3 linked regions of the Lonchura striata genome follow. The protein of the gene in region 2 binds, or shares a complex with, the protein of the main gene of each other region. Links are inferred from orthologs where the notes say so. Each region holds a gene or a part of one and is shown on either strand. Other genes may lie near its edges. The genes, in order: TENT5A, BCCIP and TENT5C.

What was found.
Region 1: the proteins of BCCIP (region 2) and TENT5A are in contact, whole or in part, in a crystal structure (PDB 8EXE), measured with the Homo sapiens proteins. The link is inferred for Lonchura striata from reciprocal best matches to the Homo sapiens genes BCCIP and TENT5A. Residues at the interface, in NP_510868.1 of Homo sapiens: Val57, Asn58, Ile59, Glu60, Phe61, Glu62, Ala63, Tyr64, Ser65, Leu66, Gln146, Val149, Leu150, Phe152, Cys153, Glu154, Lys155, Asn156, Cys157, Glu158, Lys159, Glu163, Lys167, Leu203, Ala204, Ala206, Thr225; in NP_060103.2 of Homo sapiens: Arg87, Gly88, Asp139, Glu151, Gln155, Lys158, Lys184, Glu185, Val188, Gln189, Lys190, Met191, Val192, Lys193, Val194, Cys195, Asn196, Asp199, Trp201, Asn213, Arg289, Lys295, Glu331, Arg334, Gln341, Asn342, His343.
Region 3: the proteins of BCCIP (region 2) and TENT5C are in contact, whole or in part, in a cryo-EM structure (PDB 8EQB), measured with the Homo sapiens proteins. The link is inferred for Lonchura striata from reciprocal best matches to the Homo sapiens genes BCCIP and TENT5C. Residues at the interface, in NP_510868.1 of Homo sapiens: Val57, Asn58, Ile59, Glu60, Phe61, Glu62, Ala63, Tyr64, Ser65, Arg136, Gln146, Cys153, Lys155, Ala204, Gly205; in NP_060179.2 of Homo sapiens: Asp90, Asp92, Glu102, Gln106, Arg109, Lys135, Glu136, Val139, Gln140, Lys141, Leu142, Val143, Lys144, Val145, Cys146, Thr147, Asn164.

The regions. Positions count from the first base shown.
Region 1 is NC_134605.1:80,878,716-80,886,061, forward strand, and holds the start of TENT5A (terminal nucleotidyltransferase 5A), read left to right. Parts: upstream 1-4,294; 5' UTR 4,295-4,376; intron 4,377-4,708; exon of another isoform or gene 4,709-4,974; intron 4,975-5,181; 5' UTR 5,182-5,266; coding exon 5,267-5,689; intron 5,690-6,686; coding exon 6,687-7,346.
Region 2 is NC_134609.1:29,724,944-29,732,315, forward strand, and holds the start of BCCIP (BRCA2 and CDKN1A-interacting protein), read left to right. Parts: upstream 1-4,363; 5' UTR 4,364-4,438; coding exon 4,439-4,591; intron 4,592-5,904; coding exon 5,905-5,979; intron 5,980-6,523; coding exon 6,524-6,604; intron 6,605-7,318; coding exon 7,319-7,372. Other genes in the region: UROS (uroporphyrinogen-III synthase), read right to left, coding at 1-48, 1,231-1,327, 1,654-1,737, 2,484-2,546. UniProt on the Homo sapiens protein: During interphase, required for microtubule organizing and anchoring activities. During mitosis, required for the organization and stabilization of the spindle pole.
Region 3 is NC_134604.1:28,335,060-28,341,264, reverse strand, and holds TENT5C (terminal nucleotidyltransferase 5C), read right to left. Parts: upstream 1,715-6,205; coding exon 539-1,714; downstream 1-538. UniProt on the Homo sapiens protein: Catalyzes the transfer of one adenosine molecule from an ATP to an mRNA poly(A) tail bearing a 3'-OH terminal group and enhances mRNA stability and gene expression.

The sequences.
Region 1 (7,346 bases), on a different chromosome or scaffold from region 2:
AGAGGAGAGTGGGATGGAGCCAGCAGCTGCTCAGGGCACCTGCCAGCAGCTGCACATGGAGTGATGAGGAGGGAGGGAAAAGGGTACAGCAGCCTGCATTCTCCAGAAATTTGGTATCTGGAGCTGAGTTGATACATTCACGTGCTATCTGGGTGGAGAACAACTATTAATATTCTTCAGTCCTATAGCTGCTGTTTCCAGTGAGATAATTGTGTAGCAACACAATGAATAACATAAAGAACTTTTCCGGTGATTTCTGCCCAGCAATGTCTCTCCATCTCAAGAGAGGGCAAAATTTAGGTCAAGATCTCATTTGTAGTGTTTTAGTTGCCGTTGGCCTCTGTAGGAGATAGGGCAAGCCAGCTGTGCTGAGGCACTTGTGAGCAGAGACAGAAAGAGCTGCTGTGCCAGGCCTGGGTGGGAAGCTGCAGCGCTGCTGTATCCCTGTGCAGCTGCCAGCATTCCCACTGCAGCCAGGGCTGCGAGGGGCCCCAGGGCTCCCCTTGCACAGCCTGTTCATCCACACTTGACACACTGCACATTCACACACCTGGAAACTGCTGCTCTCCATGTCCGTCTTGCTACAGACTGCTGCTTTTTTATTATTCTGAACATCTATTTGCATTTTTAACACTGTCAAAAGGACATAGGGAAAATCATCATGATGGTATCTGCTGTTTGTCTCTCCAATATGAATAACTGCTCTTAATAGAAGGATTAGAAAAAATAAAAGAAAGGAAGAATGACATTACCAAACTTTTCATGACACAATTGTGATAAAATTGTGTTGTATCTTTTTTTTCTGAACTCCTTCTGAGGCTGTTTTTTGGATTTCCTAGACTTTTTTCATGTCAAACCAATCCAGGCTGCTGCTTTTAATGCATAATAATGATAGCAGAAGTGATGTTTTTCATTTTTTGAATAAAAAACAAACAAGCTCTGTCTGAATCAACACTAGTTTTTGAACTGAAGTAGTGTTTCTGCTCAGAAGTGAATCCCCTGACTGTCTGTAAGTAACACATGTTGGCAGAGCAGCAGTCACACAAACTCAGCTCCCGTATGAAAAAACTAAACTGGAAGTTTTGCCCCTGCTGGGCACCAAATGGGAGCCAATTCATAGACTAGGCATAGACGAAGACTCACACTTTCTGGCTCTTTTTTTTTTTTTTTTTCTGCCAGAAAGAGCATGTTCCTGTTTTAGGCACCAAGTCTTGGGCAGAAGGGAGGCAGAACATTACAGTCACAGTTGATGTAGTTCAGTCAATAAATTACTTAAATTCCTAAATTCAGCAGAGCTCACCTGGAGAGTACACTCTGCTACATGGCCAAGCTGAATGAAGAGCTCACTCTGAGGACTTTATTAGGCAAATATACACAAATGCATACACGAGAAACACATTTATTGCTATTAATTTTAATTTGTTCTAGAGCAGGACTGAGAGTATGGTTGAGAATGAAGGGACTAATTGAAAAATATTGTGCGAACATACAGAAAGACATGATTCACATCACACAGCCTGCGTTTCTGCTAATTCCTTGGGCAGCACAAACAACCTGAGTGAGTAATACAATCAAAATTCTGTCAAAGAATTACTGCTCACATTGACAATTTAAAAACCCCCACCTTTTCCTTCCAAAAGTAAGTTTGTCATTAAAGTACAGAGTATGTTCATGAGCTGAATAAATGTTTTTATTAGCACCAGCATTACCAGTATCAGTCATAATTAGAATAATTGCTATAACTCAGACAAATATTTCTCAATTTCTCATGATGTAATTCACTCTAATTCAATTTCTTGCTACCGTTCTTAATGATTTCTACTGATTTAAAGTGACATAGGCTTTCACATTCAAGTAGGCAGAGGAGCAAAAAATTCAAAATATATATACCCGAGGTAAAGTACTGCACTGATGGAGTTCTATTTCTCTTCTGTTTACACAGTTTATTAAAAAAAAAAAAAAAAAATATATATATATATATATATATATATATATATATATATATATATATATATAAAATACCCTTTATCTGGTGTCCATTAATTAGGGGAAGAGAAGCAAAATGAATTGCACATCAGTGCAAATAATTCCTAATCTTTACAAAGAGTGTAATGATTACCATTCTTTGCACATTTCTGAACTGAAAAAACATAAATGATTCTAACTGGAAATTATTTCCTCTCTTCTTTCAGGTGAGTGGGAGGTGATTTGCAGGTGCTTACACCGAGAAAGGGAGGTTGAGGTGAGGACAGGGCTTGGCTAGCCCTTTTCCTTTAGCAAAACCCAGCAGTGTAAAGGTCTTCCTTCTGAAATGCATTGACCTTGCCTTTAATAAATCAGTGTTCTCCACTATGAACTTTTGTCCATTTTTCAAGTGGGCAAGTGATAGCTACTTTAAAGAGGTCAAAAGTCACACTTCATGGGGAAATGAAACAAGATCCACATAAAATAACATTGAATCCTACTGACCAGTATTCAAAATACTGTTAAAATGTCATTGCAACATGCTGAGAAACACAAGTTAAATGAAATGCTGGTTACTCCCAGACAGGAAATTGTCTCAGTTTCTTGGAGCTGGCCTTGCTTAATATTGGATGAGCCTCCAAGTCCGATCTTTGTCCTTGCTCTAGAAATCAGTAATCCAGTTATTAATGATAATTTGCTTATAAATAAGGTGGTAGTTACCCCTTTTGAAAGATTAAATCATGTGCTCTAGTGAACTGTGGTTCACCTGAGTAATGCCAGTCTGGGAACGGGGTTATATTTTAACCTCTCCAAGCTTCCTAACTGCACAGGGAGGCGGTGACACCTCTGTGCTGCAGGCAGGCAATCCCCGTGGTGGGACCCCTTGATGTGAGCCCCTGCCCTCGGCTGTCACCGCCCTGCAGTGCCTGTCCGTGTCCTCTCGGGATGCATGGTCAGTGTGAGGAGATGCTGTTCCTGCACCAGGGGAGAGTGGGGCTCCCTGTGCCCAGCGGCAGTAGCCAGGGACCCGGGTTCCCTCAACAGGCTCCCCTGCCAGCAGGCCGCTTAGTCTGAATATTTATTTTATATAAAGGTATAAGCTGGCAAACCCTGCTCAATATGCTGGCAGACGTACAACGTTCTGCTTCTGCTGTTAAGCCCTTGTACACGTTCGTATTTTAAAAGCTTTCCACTTTCTTTTTTTTTTTTTTTTTTCTTCCTGTAACACAATGGCACCGAGCAATGCAAACGCTTTTATGGCCACCTGAGCGGCACGGGGAGGGGGCAGCGGTGCCGCATGACGGGCACAGGGTGGAGTCAGCCCCGCTCCGCCGTGAGGAGCCGGCTCGCGCTGCCGGAGCCGTCGGGAATGTGGGCGGTGGATCAAAGCCCGCGCCGCCCCGCCCCGCGGCAGCCGGCAGGGGGCGCGCTTGCCCCGCGCTGCGCCGCCGGGAGCGCCCCGACGGGGCGGGCGCAGCGCGGCGGGACCCCCGCCCGGCGTGTGGGGTGGGATGGGGGGAGCCGGGCTGGGGGCTTCCCAAGCAGCCCCACACCTCTGACCTCATCCCGGGGCGGGAGAAGATGGGGGTGCGTGCTAAAAATGGGGTGAGGGGACAGTAAACCCCGTCGGGCTGTGTCGCCCACCCCTCATTTTCAGCGAAGTGCTCGGTTGAGGGAGCTGCGCGTCACGAAGTCGCGCACCCCCATTAGCCCCTCCTGCTGCGCGTCACAAAGCTGCGGGCGGTGACGCAACACCGTCCATGCCCCCCCCCCCCCCCCCCGTGTCCCCCAGCACTGCATCCTTCCGCGCAACCCGCTGTCTACACCGCGCTGGCGTGCGCGGGGTGCGCACTGGGGCGGTGACGGCCCCGGGTGCTGCAGCGTGCATCGGGTGTGTGCGCTTAGTCTGTTCTAAACAGTATGTTTGTGTATGTTTTAAATAGGATCTGTTTTCAAATAGTATCGATATATATAAATATCGATATGTGTTTAAAATAATAACTATATGTATGCGTATGTACGTAACAGGTGAAAAGCAGATGCATTCATCGTTATTTTAAAAAAAATGCAAATAAAATATATGGGCATGTTTATATAATATGCTTGTTTTCCATATCATTTTTACGGCTCCGCGGTTACTCAAGTTGTACTCTATAGGCAGGATGCTCCTCTGGAAGGCACCGGCTCCTCCGTGATGTTCGAGATGTCTTTTTTCTCCCCTCGCCGGCGGGGAGGACGGGCGGACAAGGGGGAAGGGGCCGGGCCGGGGCCGGGCAGGCACGGCGTGATGCCGCTGCGCTGCCGCCGGCGGCTCTGGAAATCTCGGTCAGGAGCCGAGCAGCGAGAACCACACGGCCCGGGATCCTCGGCATCTGCTTGGAGAGGGGCTCTTGCCAAATTCCGTCGCTCTGGTATGAAGTTTGGCTGAGCCTGGGATGACCGGGAATGTCGGGGGGGCGGGCGGGGGGTAAAAAGGCAGAGTTAAAAAAAGACGGGGAATGAATGGCTGCGCGGAATGAAGGGCGCCCCTGGGCGCGCATCTAGGCACAGCAGGAGCGGGAGGGGCCGCGCCCCGTTCGGGGCAGGGAGCGCCGCTGCACTTGTTGCCTCCCCGGAGCCGTGCGGGCGGCCGCGCCGCGCCGCGCGGGTCTCCCAGCCCGGGGCGGCCGCGCCGGGCGCTCCGCCGGCGCGGAGGGGCGGGCGGGAGGGCGGCCCGCGGGCGCGCGGGGTGTGGGCGGGCCGGGGGCACCGCCGAGGCCGGCCATGCAGATGGAGGGGGCGGGACGCGGGCGCCGTGACTCGGAGCCCCGGAAGCGAGGAGAAGCCCCGTATAAAAACTACTGGGGACCTTTCCCGGCCAGAACTACGAAAGCTCCGGAGACGGCGGCAGCCTGCGGCGGCAGCGAGCGGGGCGGCCTCTTGGGCGGTGCGGGGCGGCCTCTCCGTGGGCGCGGGGCGGCCTCTGCCCCGGCGGGAGCGCGGAGAGCGGTGCAAGCAGCGGCGCTGCAGGTCGGGCACCTTCCCTTATCCTGCAGCACCGCCTGGCTCCGGGGGGCTTTTTCTCCCCACACCCCCCATTGTATTTATCTATTTTTTAAAATCTAATCAGTAGGTGTGTCCTCCTGCTTCCCCACTGAAAGGGACGGCCACAGGGGAACGGAGCTCGGGCGCCGGGTGCGCGCAGCTGCTGACCGCTGGCTTTTCCTCTTTTGCCAGGCGCGGAGAGAGAGAGGCCCCGGGGGGCCGGCGGGGAGCCGGAGCGGTGCCTGGATCCAGCCCGCGGAGGCGGCGGCCGCTCACCATGGCAGACGATGAGAAGGCCGGCGGGAGTTCCGCGGACGGCGGCGAGAGCGCGCACTGCAACGTGCTGAGCTGGGAGCAAGTGCAGCGTCTGGACCGCATCCTCAGCGAAACCATCCCCATCCACGGCCGCGGTAACTTCCCCACGCTGGCCATGCAGCCTCGCCAGATCGTCAAGGTGGTGCGGAGCCGGCTGGAAGAGAAGGGCATCGGCCTGCGGGACGTGCGGCTGAACGGCTCGGCAGCCAGCCACGTCCTCCACCAGGACAGCGGCCTGGGCTACAAGGACTTGGACCTCATCTTCTGCGCCGACCTCAAAGGAGAAGCCGAATTTCAGACTGTGAAGGACGTGGTCTTGGATTGCCTCTTGGATTTCTTACCCGAGGGGGTGAATAAGGAGAAGATCACGCCTCTCACACTCAAGGTAAACCTGCCCTCTGCCCAGCCGCCCGGAGCGGGCAGGTGTGAGTGCCTGCCCGCGGGGAGCGGGCGCCTTCCCCTGGGATGGAGTGGTGCGCTCCGGGACGCAGCTCCCCCCCACACCTCCGCGACCCATGGGAACCCCGAGCGATTTATTCACCCCACGCTTAAAACCGAGGAGGAGCTTACAGTGAAGCGCCCTGACCGGGGCTCTTCAGGATTAATTAGCTTTTTCTCCCTCCCGGTTGATTTGCTGGGAGCGTTGTTTTACCTGGGGCGTGTGCCAGGCGCTGCACGCCTCTCCCAGTCCGGTTCGGCAGCAGCTCGGTATGCCGGTCCCGGATCCCGGGTGCACGGGGAGCGTAGATGGATTTAACATCTGCAAGAAGGAAACCCCGTCTGCAAGGCATGCTTCCAGCTGTGCTAAGTGCCCCAGCGGGGAGGCATATTCCCTCCTCTAGAAGACACTTTGCTTGAGTTCATTAGGCTGAATCCAGATATTTTCAGATTTTTAGAGGGATTAATTTTTTTAATGTGGGACCGATTTATGGAACCTGCACTGGTAGGATTGAGGGGAATGAACATTTGTTAACTTGTTCTTTGGGAAGTAGAGAGAGAAGTGAAAACCAATAAATAAGATTTCTTTTTAGATCGTAGTAGTGACCTTCTGCATATGGGTGCAGGCATATTTGGCAGATGTACCATGGACTTAGTCTGTAGATGTATTTAGAAGCTACTGAACAAAGTAGTGTTGCTGTATGCTTCCCTTGCACGTCACAGTCCCTGCAGAACACCCTCCCCTGTTATACCCTTGCAGTTACAGCATTTTGAGCTCTCACATTAAACACTTACTCTGTGGTTTGTATCTGCAGACTCCATGAAATCTTTTATGAAATGCAGATATGGGGCGGGGGGGGCTTGGAAGGGGTTAGCAAATGAAGTAAAGGAGAAATTTCTTGGATCTTTGTCTTGATTTGCTCATTTTGTCTTTCTCATTATAGGAGGCTTATGTGCAGAAAATGGTAAAAGTATGCAATGATTCAGACCGATGGAGTCTTATCTCCCTGTCCAACAACAGTGGCAAAAATGTGGAGCTGAAATTTGTGGACTCTCTGAGGCGGCAGTTTGAATTCAGTGTCGATTCCTTTCAAATCAAGCTGGACTCCCTGCTGCTTTTTTATGAGTGCTCAGAGAATCCGATGACTGAAACTTTTCACCCAACTATCATTGGTGAGAGCGTTTATGGGGATTTCCAGGAAGCCTTTGATCACCTCTGCAACAAGATAATTGCCACCAGAAACCCAGAAGAAATCAGAGGAGGTGGTCTTCTGAAGTACTGCAACCTTTTGGTAAGGGGCTTTAGGGCAGCCTCTGAATCTGAGATTAAATCCCTGCAGAGATACATGTGTTCGAGGTTTTTCATTGACTTCTCAGACATTGGCGAACAGCAGAGAAAGCTGGAGTCCTACTTGCAGAACCACTTTGTGGGATTAGAAGACCGCAAGTATGACTATCTCATGACCCTTCACGGTGTGGTGAATGAGAGCACAGTGTGCCTGATGGGACATGAGAGGAGACAGACTCTGAATCTGATCACCATGCTGGCCATCCGGGTCCTAGCCGAGCAAAATATCATCCCCAACGTGGCCAATGTCACCTGC
Region 2 (7,372 bases):
CATATGTTGGTTTGATATTCCACATTTGTTTAAGAGAATTTGACCAGGCTGAAAAACATTAAATTATATTAAATTAAAAGAAATTTAAGCACATGGCAACAAAATGTGAATGCTAAATGACTATTTGGACTTCTGTTTAATCCACAAATACAGCAAAATGATAATAATAACTAAAACTCCACAACACATTCAGCAAATCTGGATGTACAAATCCTAAAGGATAAAAAATAGATACACCAAATTTTTTACTGTCTTGTTTTAACCAGAACAGCACAGGACATTGAGTTTTCTTCTGGGACTACTGAGGGTGAAAAAAAAAAAAAAGGACAAACTACAACAGCAAAAATAAAATCAGATGTAAAAAGAAGGATTTATTGCTTTTGAGAGGAACTCAAACAGGAACTACAGACTCATTTTTATTATTAAAATACTTATTTTCCAAAAGTCCTAATCAAGATTAGGGATGGAATTTAGAGATTACTTTTGACCTAAAATCTTCACAGATTGCCCTCTGCTGCTGCAAATGCTACAATCAGCTGAGGGTCTCAGTGCATTTACTGCTTGCTCAAGGGTGTAACCTTACTCACAGGACACTGATTTGTCCACAGCCCAAAAATGGAGCAGATAAAGTAGAAACTCCATGCCAGAATCACCCAACATGAGAATTTGGAAGAGTTTACAAGGATTTGACATTTCCTTGTGATGGGTATTTCTATTTAGCAGGATTCTTCCTCACTCCTCATCTCTTGGCTTTGATGCATCACCACTTCTTTATAATTTTTTAGCTAATAATTAATTTACTTGAGAAATTTATTGTTCAAGACAGAGAACTCTCTTTTTCTGCAACGTTTCATAGGAATTGCACAGGCACAGAAGTGATGGCCAGCTTTTATGAGATGATCTCTTTAAGGGAGGAAAGGAGTCAGCAAGCAAACCAGGCACTGCAGGAGAATATTCCTTCTGCATGAGAGAAGCAGAGCTGGCAAAGCTCTCACTAATTAGTAATTTGCACCAAAAGCTCCTTCCCTTCATTTTTAAGTCTAGAAAACACAACCCTTAAAAGCTCAATGTAGCATGAGCCCCTTGTGATGCCAAAAAAGCTATGAAATTCAGTTTTTTTACAAAAATCATGCTCCAAATATATACTGGTGGGTGAAATAAAATTCATTAAAATCCAAACTTCACAAGATGCTGGAAGAAAAAGACCAAGGAGTATCAATATGTACTCACCTTCTTTTTTACTCTTCTCTTTTAAACATATCTTGATGGCTTCTAATGCTCTTGGGCTGGTAAAAACTAGGCCTCCATAGCACTCTGGATGGGAAAGCTATTTAGAAACAGTAAATTTAAGAAGTAAAAAGAAAAAAAAATACAAATTAATTTTAAAAATCAGTTGATCTATTATTTATAACCTTGTGACAAACAGAACAGCTGCCTGAAATGCCCCAACACTTGTGACAACTCACAACTTAAATGTGAATTCTGTCTGAACAATTTAATTCTTTAACAAGCAAGGGCAAGGTCCTTGATGCTGTACATGAAATTTTACTGTACAAAGCTGGTTTGTGGCAACACAAAAAGAGAATGATTCAATGGGATCTTGGCAACCAAATCCTGCTGGAAATAAGACAACTAAAAAAATTTCAAACTTACCTTCTCAAATAAGCTGTCAAGAGAGGTGAAGTCAAATGACAAAACTGGGATCAATGTTGCTTCCAAGCTGTATGATCCCAATTCCTATCAAGAAAAGGTTTGCAGCTCTTGAAATAAAACTCCAAACAGCATTTTTGTTTTTTCAAAGAGCTGACTAAGTCAGCACAAGCTTTTCTCTTTGCTAAAGCAAAATAAAAAGGTATTTTATTTCCTTTCTTTGGTAAATCTAGTTTGGATTTGTTTATTATTTAATATTCCAATATTTTACTAAACAAACAGCTGTGGGACTGTGACCTTCTGAAGTACAGGAGACACCAGCACATAACTCTGAAATCCCCAGGTGTCCACCCAGTCCTGCAAATACCCCTGTACACTTCTGTAATTCTGCCAATAGGTTTCTACTAAAGAAATAATCCTCCTTTATTAGGAATTCTTACTCTTATGAGTGAGATTTACTCACATGAGCAAGGGCAGTAGCAGAAGGGACCCCAGCAACAGGTAACCTCTATTTCACATCACACTCCCAGTAAAAATACAACAAATTTCTGTAATCCTCATTCTGTCCATATGAACACAATCAATATTAATGAATTCAAATGAAGCTGGTTTAATACCAGTACTTTGCTGAAAGCTTTACAATGAATTCAGTACAAATGTCCCATAATTAATACAATTTTTATGCAGGAAGGGTTATTTTTTAAGATACTTTTTCTCTCAGTATAACTTCAGATATGCACTCCTAATTTTGATTAAGCCCCTTGAAACAGTTGGATTCACATTTAATAAGAAGGAAGTGACACATTTTTTTAGTTTTCTTTACATTTACTCACTTTAATATATGGATCTGGTCCTGAATCTTTGTCTTTGGGATCCTTCAGCAGCAGAACCTTCATTGTTCACCAAGGAAGCACAGCAGAACCCTGAAATACAAGAATGGAATTTATCTTAATTAGATCTAGAGGACTTTTTGACTGGAATAGCAACTTGAACAGCTCCAAGAACTGGGTTGCTACGACTTGTACTGCTCCTTACACAGTGAGTAAGCAGTTATTGTGCATTCTCCAGGCAGGAACACCCAGCCTGATAAGGGCAGAAAATAATATGCTGCCTTTAGATAACACTGCTCAAGGAAGAGGCCCTAATGAAACTCATCAAGGGGAACACATTTTAAAGAATATTTTTTAAAAGCAGTAACAGGCCCTACAATGCAACCACATTCTGCAATTGAATCAGCTCCTATCTACAAAAATATTAGTTATTCTATTAATTTCCATGCCAGATTGCACTAGTTTGTTGTTATGCAAAGGTATTGATTTTATTTAATATATGTGTGTCTATATGCACGCGTTTATACATCTATAATAATATAGATAATATTAATATGCATTCTCTGATAGTCTAGGAAACAAGGTGGGACTGAAAACATCTATTCTGCCATAAAAATGGAAGATGATACTTCTCAGTTCCCTACAAGCTTTGATGCTAAACTCAAAGTTATACAACAGAAACAAATACACAAATAATACAAACAGAAATCCACTCTCTAAGTGCATATTTACCCCAATTACCAGTGTGGTATTTTCCTGACAGGTCACACACATAGGAAAATTCATTTTCCTCTAAATTCTTTCCCTGGCTAACAGTATTCAAATTTTGGCAATGACCTAATTGCTCTCAGAGCAAGCACAGCTTTGAAAAACAAAAGAAAAAGCAAAAAACAGAAAAAAAAAAAAATCACAAAAAACTCCCCCCCAAAAAACCCCCACTGATGTGTTTGATGCTTTAAAGGGAACATGAAAATCTGAGCCTACTTGAAGCATATTTGTAAAGCTGGAATTATATCCCAAGGTTCCGGGCTTGCATTTCTTCTGGCTGGCAACAGTGAGTGCCCAATGCTCTTCCTTCCATGGCCTCATTAACATCTCATTCTTCATTAATTAGACACAAAGCGTTAAATGGAACACGTTCCATATAACAGAGGCTTGATCACTAATGAGGATTTTTCCAGTGCTTAGGACATTTCAACGCTTTTTCCCGACTGGCGTTTTTATAAAAACCAGGATCACGTTGTGCTTACGGTGCTCTCCCCATCACCCTCCCCTCTGGAATTACCAGGAATTTGGTCCAGGGGAAGCCGGGTCACAATTTTTAGGGCGTAGCAGCCTGATTCCTGTTTTAATTGGCAATTTTTACTAACGCCAGTTTTTACTTACAGCAATTTTTGCTAATGTCGGGGATGCTCAGCACACTCTGTTCCCTTTAGAGCACAGAATCCCAGGATGCCCGAGGCTGGAAAAGCCCTGGAGGACCATCGGGGCCCGATCCCCGCCGAGCGCCACGTCCAGGCTTTCCCGCAGGGATGGGGACCGCAAAGCGCCCCGGGCAGCCCGACCGCACCGCCGGGAGCCGCTTCCATGCAGGAATTCCCGTTGGGAGGAAGTGACAGCGCGGCCAAGGAGGAAATCCGGGTCAGCGCGGCCGGGGCGGTGCGGGACGCGCCTCCCCTCAGCCCCGCGGCTCCCCTCAGCCCCGGGCCTGCCCTCGGCTCCCCTCAGCCCCGGGCCTGCCCTCCGTCCCGCGCCTCCCCTCAGCCCCGCGGCCCCGCGGCTCCCCTCAGCCCCGGGCCTGCCCTCGGCTCCCCTCAGCCCCGCGGCTCCCCTCGGCTCCCCGCAGCCCCGCGCCTCCCCTCGGCCCCGGGCCTGCCCTCGGCCCCTCCGCGCTCGCCCGCGCTGCCCCTGCCGCGACATTCGGCGACATCGGGGACATCCCGCGGCCGCACCGCGCCATGGCCACGCCGGCCAAGCGCCGGGCGCGGGGCCCCGCCGGGGAGCAGAGCTCCCAGAGCGGCTCCGAGAGCGGCTCCGAGAGCGGCTCCGAGAGCTCCCGGAGCGGCTCCGAGCGCTCGGCGGGCTCCGACTCGGAGGAGCCCCCGGCTGAGGTGAGCGGGACGGGCTCCGCACGGCGGGACCGACCGCGGCTCGGGGAGGGACTGTCGGGGGCGTTCGGGATGGGTTTGGGAAGGGATCGTTGTCCAGGGATGTTCGGGAAGGGACTGTCAGGGCGTGTTCGGGATGGGTTCGGGAAGGGATTGGGATGGGATTATCAGGGCATGTTCAGGAAGGGAGTGCCAGGGGATATTCGGGGTGGGTTTGGGAAGGGATTATTGTCCAGGGATGTTAGGAAAGGGATGATTTCAGGGGATGTTCGGGAAGGGATTGTTGTCAGGGGATGTTCGGGAAGGGATTGGGAAGGGATTGTTGTCCAGGGATGTTCGGGAAGGGTTTGGGAAGGGATTGGGATGGGATTATCAGGGGATGTTCAGGAAGGGAGTGCCAGGGGATGTTCGGGATGGGTTTGGGAAGGGATTATTGTCCAGGGATGTTCAGGAAGGGATGATTGTCAGGGGGTGTTTGGAAAGGGATTGGGAAGGGATTGTTGTCCAGGGATGTTCGGGAAGGGTATTGGGAAGGTTCTGGCAGGGGATGTTCAGGAAGGGACTGTCAGGGGGTGTTCGGGATGGATTTGGGAAGGGATTATTGTCCAGGGATGTTCGGGAAGGGCTTGGGAAGGGATTGTTGTCAGGGGATGTTCGGGAAGGGTATTGGGAAGGTTCTGGCAGGGGATGTTCAGGAAGGGACTGGCAGGGGATGCTCGGGATGGGTTTGGGAAGTGATTGGGATGGGATTATCAGGGAATGTTCGGGAAGGGATTGTTGTCAGGGGATGTTCAGGAAGGGACTGTCAGGGGATGTTCGGGATGATCTTGGGAAGGGATTATTGTCCAGGGGATGTTCGGGATGGGTTTGGGAAGGGATTGTTGTCAGGGGATGCTCGGGAGGGATTTGGGAAGGGACTGGCAGGGGATATTTGGGAAGGGATTGTTGTCAGGGGATGTTCAGGAAGGGATTGTCAGGGGACGTTCAGGATGGGTTTGGGAAGGGATTACTGTCCAGGGGATGTTAGGGATGGGTTTGTGGCTACAACAGCTGTAATTGTGTGAACCAGATGGCAGGTGAAGGCATTTAAGGTTTGTTCATGACACAATTGATGGGTCAGTTTTGAAAAGTTGCTTTCACAGATGTTCTCTAAAGGTCACAGGAGAAATTATAACAATTGCTGAGATTGCTGCAAGGTGGAAATAAATTCTGTTTCTGCTGTTTGCCATTACTTGTCTTCAAGTTCCTGACAGTTTAGCTTTGTTCTGATATAGCTTCTTGACAGGTGTGTGTGCTATTCTCTGTTTTATCCACAGGAAGTGAATATTGAATTTGAAGCGCATTCCATATCAGACAATGACTATAATGGGATAAAGAAGTTACTGCAGCAGGTACTGTACCTACTTGTCAGCTTGGTTGATATGTCCATTGATAAATGATATCTAAGGAGTTGTGCAAAGGCATCAGTTCACATTCTCTGTATTGATTTACAGCTTTTATATATTACTTTCCTTCCTTTTATTAGCTAATCCCAGAATAGTTTGGGAGAGAAGGGACCTTAAAGCCCATCCAGTGCCATCCCCTGCCATGGCCAGGGACACTTTCCACTATCCCAGATTGCTCCAAGCTCCATCCAGCCTGCCCTTGAACACTTCCAGAGATGGAATAGCCGCAGTTTTCAGATCATGCCAAACTCCAGAGGGTACCAGTATGGAAATATCAGCATGTGGAAGGTACAGGAGCAAGCACCTCCAGCAGCTGATTGTTAGTTTTTGCAGTATTATCATGAAGGAAGATAAATAAAAATCTCACTTTATTTTCTGCTAAGTGGTCCGTGAGATACCCTCAGTGCCTGATAGACTTGTTTAATAGTTGTTAAATACGTGTTTTTTATACTTGTTTCAAATACTTTAATACTTGTTTTCTGTCTCCCAGTTGTTTCTAAAAGCTCCCGTTAACACTGCTGAATTAACTGATATATTAATACAACAGAACCATATTGGGAGTATTATCAAGGTAAGACAAATACTATATTTGTAACTGAAGTACAATTTGTTGAAATTACATGATTTCTGTATTTCAGAAGGGGATCCTGTCTGTGTTGTGTGCTTTCTTGATTTTTCTGCTTTAAGAATAATTTTTCTATGGGAACAGAGATTTTCCATGCTTACTTTCAGGCAAAGAATGAATTTGATATATTGTAATTGCTGGTTTCTTTTTACATATGGAAAGCTTTTCCCTCCCTGAATTTCAGTGTAGTAATGCTGAAAATGCAAAGGAGGGGTTTGTTGCCATCTCCATAAGAAACAGGAGCTTGTGACTTTCCTACAAAGACACAGCTCTTTGTCTCCCTCCCTGCCAAAGCTTTGTTGCTCTGTGGTTGTCAAGACATTCCAGGCTTACTTCCCTACATTAGAAACTGAAGCAAATTGGTTTTTTTTAAGATATTGCCATCCCCTGAGCCAAGATGTTGCTTATTAAATGTGAGCTATCAACCTTTAGTGCCTTCCAGAGGACTCTGCTGTAGAAGATGCATGAGCTGGCCCTCTCCAAAGCTGGCTTTGAGCACACTGAGATGTTCAGTGATGCAGCAGAAATTGCAGTGTGTGTTTGTACAGATTTCCTCAATGGTTTTCATCTGCTGGTATCACCTGGAAAGAAAAACATCTTTTGCTACAGAGTGGAAATAGAATGTCAGTATGAGTTGTTGCTTTTCCTTTCATTCAACAGCAAGCAGAAGTGCAGGAAGACAGTTCTGATGATGAAGATGATGAGGATGAAGTG
Region 3 (6,205 bases), on a different chromosome or scaffold from region 2:
AGACAGTATTCACACTGTTACCAGCTTTACAAAGACACAAAGTGAAAGCAACCCAAGAATAACATGAGCCCAGTCTTGGCACAATTAGTTCAAGAGAAATTTGGCCAGAACTTGGACTGAGGAAGAATAATGAGGTTAGGAAATAGAAAGCAGTGTTTTGCTGCTACTCCAAGAGCAGTTTCTGCTTAAGGCATTTTACAGTCAATTAACCAACCCAGTTTACTGAATACTCCACTTAGATCCCATGTTAACAGCCACTTCCAGAGCTAGTACAAAGTTTCTTAACTGCTCCTCTTAACATTTGGCTGCTGGTTCTCTCCTCCCGATGAAGAGGTAATAAGGCTTTTTGGCATTTGTAGAGATACTCAAAGATTCATAGCAGGTCACCTGGCTGCATAATCCCACTGCACACCAGGAAATGGACAGTCTGATACAGTCAAGTTTCCATTAGAGAACATCCAACTGACACTTATTACTTGTCTATAATTACACTTGTGGCTTTCAGTAGCCTCCAGCCAGGAGCACTCGAGGGAAGCGATCAATTGCAAGGCAACCAAGTGGGGTAGGATTGGCTGTACAGCACAGGGGCACCAGCAAGGTAGTAGTTGCTGAAGTTTGCATCGCTGACATAAGGTGCTGGCTGGTAATAACAGGTCACATTAGTGACATTAGGGATGACATTCTGTTCTGCCAGCACCTTGAGTGCCAGCAGAGAAATCAAATTGAGAGTCTGCCTTCGCTCGTGCCCCATGAGGCAGACGGTGCTCTCATTCACCACCCTGCGCAGAATCATGAGGTAGTCGTACTTGCTCCTCTCCTCTTTGGAGAAGTGGTTCTGCAGGTAGGTCTCCAGCTTGCGCTGCTGATCCAGGATGTCTGGGAAGTCAATGAAGAATCGGGAGCACATGTAGCGCTCCAGCGTTTTGATCTCGCGCTTATCCATGGGCCGGAAGTCTCGTACTAAGAGGTTACTGTACTTCAGCAGCCCACCACCTCTGATCTCTTCAGGATTTTTGGTAGCTATCAGCTTGTTCTGGAGGTGATCAAAAGCTGCTTCAAAGTCTCCGTACATGCTCTCCCCAATCACAGTTGGGTGGAAGTGCTCCGACATGGGGGTTTCCGAGTAGTCATAGTAAAAGAGCAGGGAGTCCAGAATGATCTGGAACGAGTCTACACTAAACTCAAATTGCCGCCGTATGCAGTCTACAAACTTAAGCTCCACATTTTTGCCATGCTTGTTGGAAAGTGATATCAAGCTCCAGCGGTCAGTCTCTGTGTACACTTTGACCAGCTTCTGGATGTAGGCTTCCTTCAGTGTTACAGAACTGATCTTCAGCTTGCTTACTCCTTCCGGCAGGAAATTCAAGAGGGAACGCAAGACCACGTCTCGAACTAACTGAAACTCTGCCTCACTTGGAAGAGAAACTTGAAAAATGAGATCCAGGTCTTTGCATCCCAGCCCATTATCCTTGACCAGGACGTGACCAGCTGCAGACCCATTCAGACGGACATCGTGGACCACAATGCCTGCTTCGCTCAGCCGGCTCCGGACCGTCTGAACAATGTCCTTCAGAGTTATCTGCAGCGTCGGGAAGTTCCCCCGCCCGTGGATGGGAACCACCTCTGTAAGAACCTCGTGCAGGCGGCTGACCTGCTCCCAGTTCAAGACACTGCAGGACATGGAGTCTGCTCTGCTACTTCCTTTGCATGCCATCTTTGGGCTTTTCTTCTCCAAAGAAACTGTATGGAGGTAGAATATAAAAAGAAAAAGACAAGTCAGAGTTTCTTTTTGTGCTTCCTAGATCTACTCCTAGGCTCTGTTTTTCTGTTCACTCGCACAGACACAAACTAGACAGAAATAACTCTATGTATTAATGACTACCAGCAATCCTTTCTTCTGAAATGAGACACAGCTTTACTATTGGTGCAGGCAAAAAAAAAAAAAATGGGTTGCCTTTGGGTTTGTTTTTTTTTTTGGTGAGGTAGAGTTAGTTCAGGAAAGTAGTTTGTGCCAAATGGAAATTACCAAAGATGACACAAACTAAGGCTAAAGTCCTCAGCAGCACCAGCAGAAGTGAGATGAGCTGCAAAGCACTTCAGAGAGTTAAGCTCTGAAGTTGTTTCATGATGCATATAAAGCTCAAACTGCTGTTTCCAACTAACACAACTGCAGAACACCCTCAGGTGTTAGTTTCAGAGCTTAGACATCCAGTCCACTGATAACTCTTAAATTATGTCAAAGATACAAGATTTCTTCCTTTACATAGAACACTTTCCTTTCTAAATGATCCAGCATCTATCACTCACAGGATAAAGGCCAAGTACAAGTTGCTCCTGCAAAAAGCTGCAGCTCTTGAACATCCTGGACAGAATTTCAGCTGCAAACTCGGGTAACAGCATTCAATAGGCACTCCAGTCTTTGAAGAAGGGTAAAGAGCTGCTTACAGAGACACTGCCTAACCAACTACCTTTCTGGAAATGTTCATACTTGTCCCAAGGTCTGCTCATTTATGAAGGGCAAACAAGCCTGTAAGATTTGCGATAAATTCAGATGAGGCATAAGAAGTTCATGTTTCTCTTTTAACATCTAGAATCTCACTAACCAGACTTGGTCACAGCCTTGTCTAAACACTTTAAGCACAAGAGAATGATCTGATTAGCTGTGACAAGATTCCTTAAGTCACTTGCCTATTGTAGCATGGAGATACTTACAGATGTTCTACAGTCATGCAACTCAAACTGGTGTTAAAACCCTTTTCTTTTTTTAAGTGTTCCAGGTTTCTGCGTAGCCAGGTGCTTCCTGACAGCTACAGACTAATTGAGGCTTCACCTTCTTCTGCCCCAAATACTCCTGAAGACTGCAGCTGCCAAGGTCAGACTAGTCAAACTTAAGAAAATTAACTCTTGCCTACCAAGAAGGAAAAACCAAGCCCTATAGTTTCCTGGCATGCAATAGCACAGTGCATGGAACATATTAAAGCAAGTTTCAAAGAACAACTATTGTCATCTCAGACATCCCCTTTTTTCAGCTTTTCATTTTTGAGCAACTCATTCGACCTGCCACCTCTTTGGATGAAGAGAGTCAAATCCCAGAGCAAGTAAACAGTGAGGTTAGAATCCCTCTAGGGAAGAAGCTTCTGTCCTCAAGCAGGAGCTGCTGCATTACAAACTGTTCTGCCATGGATCACATCAGCACCAGCAGGTATGAAACAAACCTCTGATTTGCAAGATGATTAATCTAGGACAAATCAAGTGGTTCTTTGAGCTTCATCTTTAATACTCCAACACAGCATAAACACAAACACATCAAACCTGCCAGCAGTTGCTCTCAGGCAACTGAGAGCACATTAAAGTATGTTTCCTTAGTGAACTCACTATATTTCTATTAAATCTCTCAGATCACTAAAGAACATAAGAGTCTTCCCACAACTTCTAACTGAAGCTGCAAATGCTTTCAGCTACTGCCTCTAAAACTATTCCCTCTCCTTCTTCAGATTTGTAGTCCTCTCTGCAGCCAAGAAACACACGCATCTCACCCAGTGACCAGAAAGGACCTGGACCAGCGCTTTCAACCACACCATACACACCTGGCTCTGTTTGGTGACCCTCACCTAGGAGGGTAATGCACATTGCTGCCCTTGGCGGGCAGAAGACAAAGTACTTCGTTTCCAGTTCAGTGGAGGATTTAAGTCTCAGGCTATCAACCTCCAAAACCTCCCACCCTCAAATCACTAGTGTTTGCCTACTCGGCAAGGTTTATGTTAGTGACAACAGATTCCTAGCGACTCCAGTGATTTTGGGATGCTAACAGCTCCCATGCCTCCTGCTTCACTGCCAGCCACTCCCTCCACAAGATCGGACACCTGAAGATACTCAGTCCTTAGGAAGAAAACCACTACGGAGGCAGGAAACACTAAATATCTTTAATACCGAGCATAAAGAGCATTGAATACATCACTCAAACCAGAAGCAAAAAAAGAGCGAGGACTACACACCTTCACCTTGGTCACGACGGGGTGCGTTACCCTGCAGCAGCAACTTTCTCCTATAAGACATATAATTTAACACAACACCCAAAAATTCCCCGGGCCTGTCCCGCGGAGCCCAGCGGCGCTGGGGACGGGAGCTGCGGCTCCCTCCGCCTCCAACACCCGCATCCACGACAGGAGCGCTGCCGAGCTCCTGCTCCCGGGAGAGCCCGCCCCGCAGAGGGGAGAGGAGCCCCGGCCCCGCCGCTCACCTCGGCCCCGCCGCTCGCCCCGAGCAAGCACGCCGGCCCCGCCGCTGCCCGCGACCGCCCTTTATGGCCCTGCAGGGCCGCCCCGCCCCGCCCGGCCCGGCCCGCCCGCCCCGCCCGGCCGGCGGGGGCGGCTCTGGCCGCGGTCCGGCCGCCGGCGCCGCGCCCGGGGAGCGCCGCGGCGCCCGGGCCGGGAGCGGCCGGGGGCGGCCGCCCGAGCGCTGGAGCCCCGCGAGCTCCGCGCACAGCGCCCAGCTGCCCAGCCCCACGTCAGTGCATACTTGTGTATAAAGTCTGTAGATAAATACAAACTTTTCAAAGGGCCCCTCCCTTCAGGAAGGACACTGCGGGGCTGGAGAGCCTCCAAAGAGCAACGTTGTTGGTGAAGGATCTGAGCACAAGTCCCACGATGAAAGGCTGAATGAGCTGGGGTTGTTCAGTCTGGAGAAAAGGACGGTCAGGGGAGACCTTATTGCTCTCTACAACTGCCTGAAAGGAGGATGTAGATGGGTGGTGATCAGTCCCTTCTTCCAAGCAACAGTGACAGATGACACAGTCCTAAGCTGTGGCAGGTTCAGGTTGGACATTAGGAAGAAATTTTTCACTGAAATGGAGATTAGACATTGGAATGGATTGCCCAGGGAGATGATGGAGTCACCATTTCTGGAGTTGTTTAAAGGAAGACTGGATATGAGACTCAGTTCCATTATCTAGTCAACATGGTAGTGTTTGGTCATAGGTTGGACTTGATGACTTCAGAGGCCTTTTCCAACCTAATTGGTTCTGTGAATCTGTGGGCTGACTGAAATACAACAGGGCTTTCCTGAAGGCACCTTATCCCAGACAGAAGAGCTGTTAGCAGAGATCCCAGACGTCCAACTCTGCCAAAGAGTTCTCTGTGGTGCCTAACTGGAAACAGCCAAACCAGGCACTCATCCAGAACCTGCAAGGATGGGCTCACAAGGATGTTGGAGCAGTGCTGAAACAGTGTGCTACCGGAAACTGCGGCTGATGGGCTGTGGGAGGCTCTGCGCACATAGACAAGGATGATGGAATGGCTGGACAGGAATCAATTTGGAGATGCAGTGTCATAAAAATCAGCTGGTGGTTAATAGCACAGGGTGCGAGATCATTCTGGGGGCAAAAGTTACAATTTCTGCTGAGAACATAATGTTTCATCCAATACAGGGGTATCTGCCTTTTGTTACGATAATCAGATCTCAATAGAAACGGGGCGGGGGGAATCAACACAACTTAGAACAGGCCAGAACATAATCCTAGCAGAAGTAAAAAAAGTACTTACAAAACAACGGAAAAAAAAAATCACCACTACATCTGTTATACTGTTTGGCCATACACAGTCAAGAAAGATGAATTAAAACCTGCACATATATGGAGAGGAGCTGGCCTTGAATGAGGAAATGGGAAAGCTCCTTTTTGCCTAGCAAATACAACAGACCTGCCTCGTTTCACCAAAAAAGCCAAAGCTGAACAGGAATAGGGATGGGTTAGATAATTATTTATTTTGCTCCAATATTGCCCACTGGGATAAATAACAGGAAACAAAATTACCTATTTAAATTAAATTACCTATTTAATTAATAATTACCTATTTAAATTAAAGGATAACTGGCACAAGAATCAGATTTGAGGCAAGTTACCATCTTGTTGTCCAATGAGATAAATCGTGAGATTTCAGAGCCTTGCAGGAGGGAAGGGAATAAAACTAGGTTAAAGATGCAGCTAGAAAAGAAAATAAGTATATGATTGCCTGTGCTGGTATGGAGCTGATCATGAGGATCCAGAGGTCTCTCAACACTTTTCCCCTATGTTTCTAAAATTAGAAAGAGAAGTAGGGAACTCAAAGAGAAGTGGTAGCACAAACGAAAGAAGCACAACCACTTGTAAGGAAATGTCTCACTTGGAGATTAAAACAGTGAATGATCTCACCTCTTAAGCATATTTCTT